2 linked regions of the Ovis aries genome follow. The protein of the gene in region 1 purifies or fractionates together with the protein of each later gene. This does not show direct contact. Links are inferred from orthologs where the notes say so. Each region holds a gene or a part of one and is shown in the gene's direction. Other genes may lie near its edges. The genes, in order: PTPRO and SDF2L1.

Region 1 (3,586 bases):
AAATACATGTGAGTCAAAGCCAAGGAAGTCTGAAGTCTTTAGCCTCATCATTTGCATGAAGTTGTCAAACAAGAGACTCCTTAAAATCCTGCGGATATTTTAACTGGTTCTTATTTAAAGATCATTTTTAATGGTATTACTTAGAGAGAAAGTCTGGGAAATAGGGAAAAGGAAATGGGATAAAGATAGCTACTGTCAACATTTTGGTATTCGGAAAGATTAAAGGCAGAAGGAGACGGGGCTGGTGGAAGATGAGATGGTTAGATGGCATCACTGACTCAATGAACATGAATCCGAGCACACTCCGGGAGATAGTGAAGGACAGGGAAGACTGGCATGCTGCAGTCCACGGGGCCACAGAGAGTCAGACACGACTTAGCAACTGAACAACAGCAATAACAACATCTCGGCCTTAGTCAAGTATAACGTTCACGTGATTGTACTCATATGCTCTATAGACATATCATAATTTTGCATTCTGAATTTTCACTGAAGATTTTGCCATGTGTATCATCCTAAATTGCCTAAAACTCTATAAATCTCATTTTAAAGACTGAATACTCCCTCACTTCCTTCCTGCTTTCTTACTTCTGTCCATCCACACAACGTCATTTATTAGCATTTTATTAATTGTACCTCCACCAACTGGTTAAAAATGGCTGGTTCAACAAATTCAAATCATCATTGAATGCTACTTTTTAACTTTACTCACTTCATAGATTTAAAAAAATAATTGTTTTAGTTTACAGTTTTTTTATTGGCCATTTTTTGTACATGTTTTAATATTTTCTCAGTTTACCTTAAAAAACATTTAGGAAGTACAAACAAAGTGCTGGGTATTAGGAATAAAAAACACCCAGGCCCTGCCTTTCAGGAATATTTGGTCTAGTGGCTCAGAGGTTAAAGCGTCTGCCTCCAATGTGGGAGACCCGGGTTCAATCCCTGGGTCGGGAAAATCCCCTGGAGAAGGAAACGGTAACCCACTCCAGCATTCTTGCCTGGAGAATCCCATGGATGGAGGAGCTTGGCAGGCTACAGTCCAGGGGGTCGCAAAGAGTTGGACATGGCTGAGCGACTTCACTCACTTACTTACTTACTTAGTGGTTAGTAGATTTTATCTATTTGCCAATTTAAGTGTGTATGTTACTGATATGGATGAATTTTAAACAGAGATAAAGGTGTTGACATTTGTCATAATTCTTGAAAATATTTTTCCCTCTCAGTTTCTATTTTGCCCTTTATGTTATTCTTTTTTCTACTTTTTACATACAACAGTTTGACATCTTTGTTCTAATTTATTTCATTGTTTAAAGTTTAGAAAGCCCAGGGGCCTCCCTAGCAAGTCAGTGTTTAAGACTCTGTGCTTCTGATGCAGGGGGTGTGGCTTTGATCCCTAGTCCAGGAACTAAGATCCCATATGGGGTATGGCATGGCCAAAAAAAATTTAGAAAGCCCTTCCATAAAGTAATCAGAGAAGAATTAATCTATATATGCCTTTATATTTTTATGGCTTAATTTATTAAGCTTCTTGGAATTTATTTCAGTGTATTATGAGGCAATGTGCAATTTTTTTTGAAAAAGCCCCATGATTTACTGATTGAATATTCATTGCCTTTAGCATTAAGTAGTGTAATCTAAATCCTATTATTAAACAAAATATTTTTACAGTTGATTCTCTTGGATCGTCTAGTTTTGAAATTGTATGTTACAAATAATGAAGATTGTTTCCTTTGACATTCATCATAGTATTTAATACTCCCATAGTATTACAAATATTATTTTTTGCACAAACATATCTTTTTTTAGTTTTGGCCTTGCCGCGTGGTATGTGGAATCTTAGTTCCCTGACCAGGGATTGAACCCATGCCCCCTGCAGCTGAAGCACAGAATCTTAAACACTGGCTCCAGGGAGGTCGTTACATAAAGATACCTTGCTCTAAAGCATCTTTATCTTTTGCTCCAGGAGCAGTACATTTTTATCCATCAGTGTGTGCAACTGATGTGGATGAAGAAGAAGCAGCAGTTCTGTATCAGTGACGTCATCTATGAGAATGTCAGCAATTCCTAGCTCAGAATCCCAACAAGTAAGTAGAGAATACCCCATCATGGGCACCCTGTCTTAGAACAGTGAGAGAGGATATGATGGGATAAAGCAAAGGCGGCAGCAGCTATTTGCACTGACTCTGCCCCCACAGAGTTGGCCATAGGGAAAGAGACAGTAGCAGATCTTAGAGCTTCAGTGTGCCTTGGTTGGTGAGTATGGCAATGCAGGAGCTTCAGCAACTCACAAAGATTGGAGCTCTATTCCCTCCTGCCTAAAGCTTAAATTACTCTGATATTAAATCTGTGCCTGCAGATCCAATCAGGATATTACCATCCAACCCTACTTGCAACCCACTCCAGTATTCTTGCCTGGAAAAATCCCATGGACAGAGGGACCAGGTGGGCTACAGTCCATGGGGTCACAAAAGAGTGGGAAATGACTTAGCGACTAAACCACCATCACTATTTGTCTAGATACTTTATGCAAATATTTTGTTGACTACAAGTGCCATAGAAAGAGTTACAAAGGAAATATGAGCTGAAGTCAACACTCCCAAAGAAGAAAAACAATATTGACAATAGTCTCAGGTTATCGGAGTTTGGAAATGCCTTGATTTCATCTGTTATATGAGCAGTTACTTGAGGACATCCTGAAAAAATTATACCACAGTCAATACCTTGCTCTCACATTCTCCATAGATCAGATTTTGGAGGTGCAAATAATTGTGCCTAAAGTAACAAATAATCTTAAAAGATTCAATTGGGTAAACAGAGCATGGCATGTGTCTGAATATATTGGTATTGGGGGCACCACTGACAGGGAGAGAAAGGAGAGGGGTGCCTTGTGGAAACATGAAAGGATATGGACCAGTGGGTACCACCATAGGATTAGCATTGGTCCTTTACATCCGTCAACAAAGAGAGACAGGAAGCACGAGGAAGCAGGAAGGATAAAAAATAAGAGAAGACGTGTGTGTCCTAAGTCGCTTCAGACATGACTGAAGGACTCTTTGAGATCTCATGAACTGTAGCCCACTTCTCCATGGGAAGACAGACAGAGACAAATTTGCAAGCAGAAGGAAAGGCATTCAGAGCCATAGAAAGGAGGATGTGCACAGAGAAAGATGCCCAGGTAAATCCACATCCTCGTGGGCTGTGGGGTTGAGTGTAATGAGAGCTAGTGATGGAGTCAGAAAGTGATCAAAGAAAGCACGTCCAGCCACAGGGTTGTTGATGAGTAGCTTTGCTCTCCCAGGCTACTTACCATCTCTTTCTCTCTTTCTCTCTCTCTCTCTCCCTCATTCACAGGACAGAACATGATGTGTACCCATCCCCCTTTGCTCCCAGAGTTTTTTAGGGGGGCCCTACTAGCCATTTGCTAAAAAAGAGCCCCACTTTGTAGTATGTGGCCAAGGAGATAATTTATCTCATATGAGCACCGGAAAGACTTAGCCTTAAAGAGCCTACTGTGTCTTTTGGACTCTTTCACTTCTGGACATTCAATAATGGACCAAATTCGACCAAACACCAGAAAGGTCCAGAT
Region 2 (3,993 bases), on another chromosome or scaffold:
TCAGCCTAGGGGCAAAGCAGTGGGAAGGAGGCTGCGAGTTCTGGTCTGGCCCGCTTGAGGTGTTCCTTGCTGTGTCTGGATTGCACTCTAGCCCCTCTGCCTGGTTTGGAGGCCCCTCCAAGGTAGGATCTACTAAATCCAGGGCAGACAGCATTTTAGACACTGAGTGTTGAAAAGATCAAGACGCCTTGTCCTACATGGAATTCCAAATAAAGACAATGTTAAGCCTGAAAACTGGGACTTCCTGGTGGCCCAGTGGTTAGGACTCCACACTTCCACCGCAGGAGGCGCCGGTTTGATCCCTGGTCAGGGAACTAACAGCCCACAAGCTAGCTGATCAGCACCAAGTCAGGGGGAATATGAAACCCGAAAACTAATCCATTGCTGTAATTTAAATGACTCTATCCTGGATTTTCTGAATGCTAACTTCTGGATGATTTAATCAAACATGAACTTTTTTTTTTTTTCCCTCCCTGCTTTGCTGGTGCCCAAGTGCCGAGCAGTCAGCCGATTCCTGGGCTGGGCTGAACTGAAGGGCCTGGAGTGAAGTCAAGTTTAGAATATTCCACGAATGAATAAATAAACAGCGGTGTAAGTTTCCCCCCTTACAGGACTGAGCAGACAGCTCTCTGAGAAGGCAGTGAGTCCCCAGCCTGGGACACACAGTCACCCAGGCTTGGTTTGCAGCCACTTCCCGAGGCAGCTCAGGGTCTTCTGAAGACTGCTAGCCTCTACACCACAGCTCCCTGCTGCCCTCTGCTGCCCAGCGGCCTAGAGACCATGAGATTCTGCCCTGGAAGGGCCCAGGGAATTCAGAATCCCCAGGGTCCAGGGACACCGATGTGACGCAGTGTCAGGGGGCACTGTTCGAGCGACTGGAGGATTAGGTTCAGGGACTGAAGGAGCATGTGACTGCGTAATCCGAGATGTGTCCACTGGTGACCACATAATCTAGTAGTCGAGCAACGTCAAGACCCTGCAGCTGTGGACCCGGGGTCCGAGGGGGACACCATCACTGAGGGCCAGGGGATCTGGGATCAAGGTGATAGGGTGAACCGGAGCCCGGCGGGCGCTAGAGCGGCGCCCTAGGCGGCAGCCGCCGGGCATCCAGCACTCCCGCGGCTTGGAGCCGCCCGGGCCTCCCCTGGATCCTCATTGGTCAGCCCTCGGAGGCGTGGACCAATCAAAACTTTCCTCGTGTCGCCAGGGCCCTCCCAGCCGCCGCTCGCCGAAGCTGGGGGCGGGTCTCTCCGGCGCGGACCCAATGGCAGCAGAGGCGGAGCGCCGTGCAGGCCGGCGATTGGCTGCTGCGGCGGGCCCTGTCGGAGTCCGGATTGGCCGGCGGCGGAGACGGAAGCGACCGCTGGCCGAGTTGCCGGAGCCCTGCCGGGGCGATGTGGAGCGCGGGCCGCGGTCGAGCTGCGGGCCCGGCGCTGCTGGGGCTACTGCTGGCCCTCTCGCTGTCGGGGGGCCGTGCCGCCAAGACCGACGCGGGGCTCGTGACCTGCGGGTCGGTGCTGAAGCTGTTCAACACGCAGCACCGGGTGCGGCTGCACTCGCACGACATCAAATACGGATCCGGTGCGCGGCCGGGGCCGCCCGACGGCGGGCTGGGCGCTGGGTCCCCGCGGGCCAGGGGGCTGGGGGTCCTCAGGGCCGGAGGCCGGCGGTTTCGAGGGCGCGGTCGGGACGCCGTTCGGAGCGGTGGACCTCGGAGTGCGACCAGAGGCGGGCGGGGGGCGGGGAGCGGCTTGTGGAGCCGTTGGGTCCCAGGGTCGAGGCCGTCGGGAAAGCGGAGGTTGTCCGGGGCGACGGTCGGCGTTGCCACGTTGACGGCCACCCCGGGGATGGGGTGTCGTCCCCAGGCAGCGGCCAGCAGTCGGTAACCGGCGTGGAGGCGTCCGACGACGCCAACAGCTACTGGCGAATCCGCGGCGACACGGAGGGAGGGTGTCCGCGCGGGTCCCCGGTGCGCTGCGGGCAGGCGGTGCGGCTGACGCACGTGCTCACCGGCAAGAACCTGCACACGCACCACTTCCCGTCGCCGCTGACCAACAACCAGGTGAGCCCCCCTGGCTTGTGAGCCGCGGGGCCTGGGCACCTGCTCAGAGCCCCAGCTTTCCTCTGTGAAATGGGAGCGTCAAGTTAGAAGCGTTTGCCCGGCGCCCACTCTGGGGACAGAGAGATGATCCCCACCGGCGCCTACCCCCTGGAGCCTTCAGCTCCGCGGGGACACAGCTGGAACAGCCGTCTGGCTGGAGAGCTCCACTCCTGGGCGGGAGCTGGACCCAGGAGGGGGATCCACACGGCAGTTGCCGTGGAGAATGGGAAACTCCGCAGCGAGGAGGCACTCAGGCCGGCCCTGGAAGGATGAGGAGGAATCCAGGGAGGAGATGGGCGTCTTCCCAGGCCTGGACAAGAGCCTGCCTGTGTGCGAGTTCATTGGAACTGGGAGGGCGGTGGGGCTGGAACAGAGGGTGGTTGGGGGCTTATCCAAAGAAAAGGATGAGATAATAGAACCTTGACTGTCAGCCTGAGTGGCAGACATGATGCTGAGTGAAGGTCAGAGGGTTTAAGACAGAAGGAACTGGAGGAGGAGGGAGTGGGGGAGGCCTTGACTCCTTGGGGGCCAGTGGTCGCCACCCAGGTAGGTGAGATGGGGTGTGCACGTGTTTGAAGAGCCCGTGTTGGGGGGACTCAGGGCTGGGGGGGTGGTCGCAGTTGGCAGCTGTGGAAGCTGAGTATTAGGGGGAGGTATAGGGAAGTGAGTGCCGCTGCCTGGCAGGGGCCCGCAGGGGCCTCAGGGCTCCCTCTGTCACGACTGCGGTCCTCACCCCCTCTGCCCCCACAGGAGGTGAGCGCCTTTGGGGAGGACGGCGAGGGGGACGACCTGGACCTGTGGACCGTGCGCTGCTCAGGGCTGCACTGGGAGCGAGAGGCTGCCGTGCGCTTCCAGCACGTGGGCACCTCCGTGTTCCTGTCGGTCACTGGTGAGCAGTACGGGAGCCCAATCCGGGGGCAGCATGAGGTGCATGGCATGGCCAGTGCCAGCGCCCACAATAAGTGGAAGGCCATGGAAGGCGTCTTCATCAAGCCCAGCCCGGAGGCCCCTGGGGGCCACGATGAGCTCTGAGCGCTGTGGACCGGGGGGCGGAGGGCTGCGGGGGGCGTTGTCTGCAGACGACTCTCCGGGGGGACTTTGGCTTTGTAGGGGTTCTCAAGTGCCTTTATGATTAAAGAATGTTGGTCTCTGGTCGCACTTTGCTGTGAGCCTGGGGCTGACCTGAAGCTGCCAGCTGGTCCCACTCAGCATCTCTTCCTCAGTGTGAAAGCTCTGTCTCCAGCACGGCTGGTGGCTGAACCCATCCAGACCTCTCGGACGCTCTTCTGTGCACTCTCAACACTGCCCGGGGCCATCACAGCCCCCTCCCCCCACCCTCAGATGGCCTCCAGCTCCATGAACCTTCCTGAGAAGGGCTAAGGTCTCAGCAGATTGCAGCAGCCCTGCTCCCTACCAGCTGGGATGGGCACAAGCTGGCCAGTCTCTCGTCCCTTGAAGGGCATCCCTTCCCCTGGCAGTTGTGACAGTCTGGACCCTTGGCTTTGACCAAGCACTGGGCCAGGACTCTGCCCATCTGGTGGAGATTCATATCGCAAGATCCCTGTCTCCGTGCAGATCGGCACCCCACACACTCAGCTGGCCCCAAACCCCGGAGGCCCTAACAGAACTTAAAAAGGTATTGCAAGGGAAGATAACCACAGAGGACTGCCGCCTGCAGACATCTGAGAAGGCTTCCTGGAAGAAGAGTCACACTGAGCTGTCAAAGTGTTGAAATCGGCTGGCCCTTGACAGAGGACGGTAATAGCAGTTTTGCTGGTGCGTGGTGCCCTCTAGAGGTGATGGCAGAGATTACAGGCTGAAGGACTTGAGCTGCGGGGGTCAGAGGGTGCCACTTTTCCGGCAGGAGAGTAGCCCAAGGAGAGGCCGGGGGT

What was found.
Region 2: the proteins of PTPRO (region 1) and SDF2L1 purify together in Homo sapiens (affinity purification with mass spectrometry; 3 studies listed by BioGRID and IntAct, with this or other methods). This does not show direct contact. The link is inferred for Ovis aries from reciprocal best matches to the Homo sapiens genes PTPRO and SDF2L1.

The regions. Positions count from the first base shown.
Region 1 is NC_056056.1:199,965,128-199,968,713, reverse strand, and holds part of PTPRO (receptor-type tyrosine-protein phosphatase O), read left to right. Parts: intron 1-1,963; coding exon 1,964-2,068; 3' UTR 2,069-2,084; intron 2,085-3,351; exon of another isoform or gene 3,352-3,586.
Region 2 is NC_056070.1:72,150,051-72,154,043, reverse strand, and holds SDF2L1 (stromal cell-derived factor 2-like protein 1), read left to right. Parts: upstream 1-1,369; 5' UTR 1,370-1,394; coding exon 1,395-1,581; intron 1,582-1,865; coding exon 1,866-2,062; intron 2,063-2,851; coding exon 2,852-3,133; 3' UTR 3,134-3,295; downstream 3,296-3,993.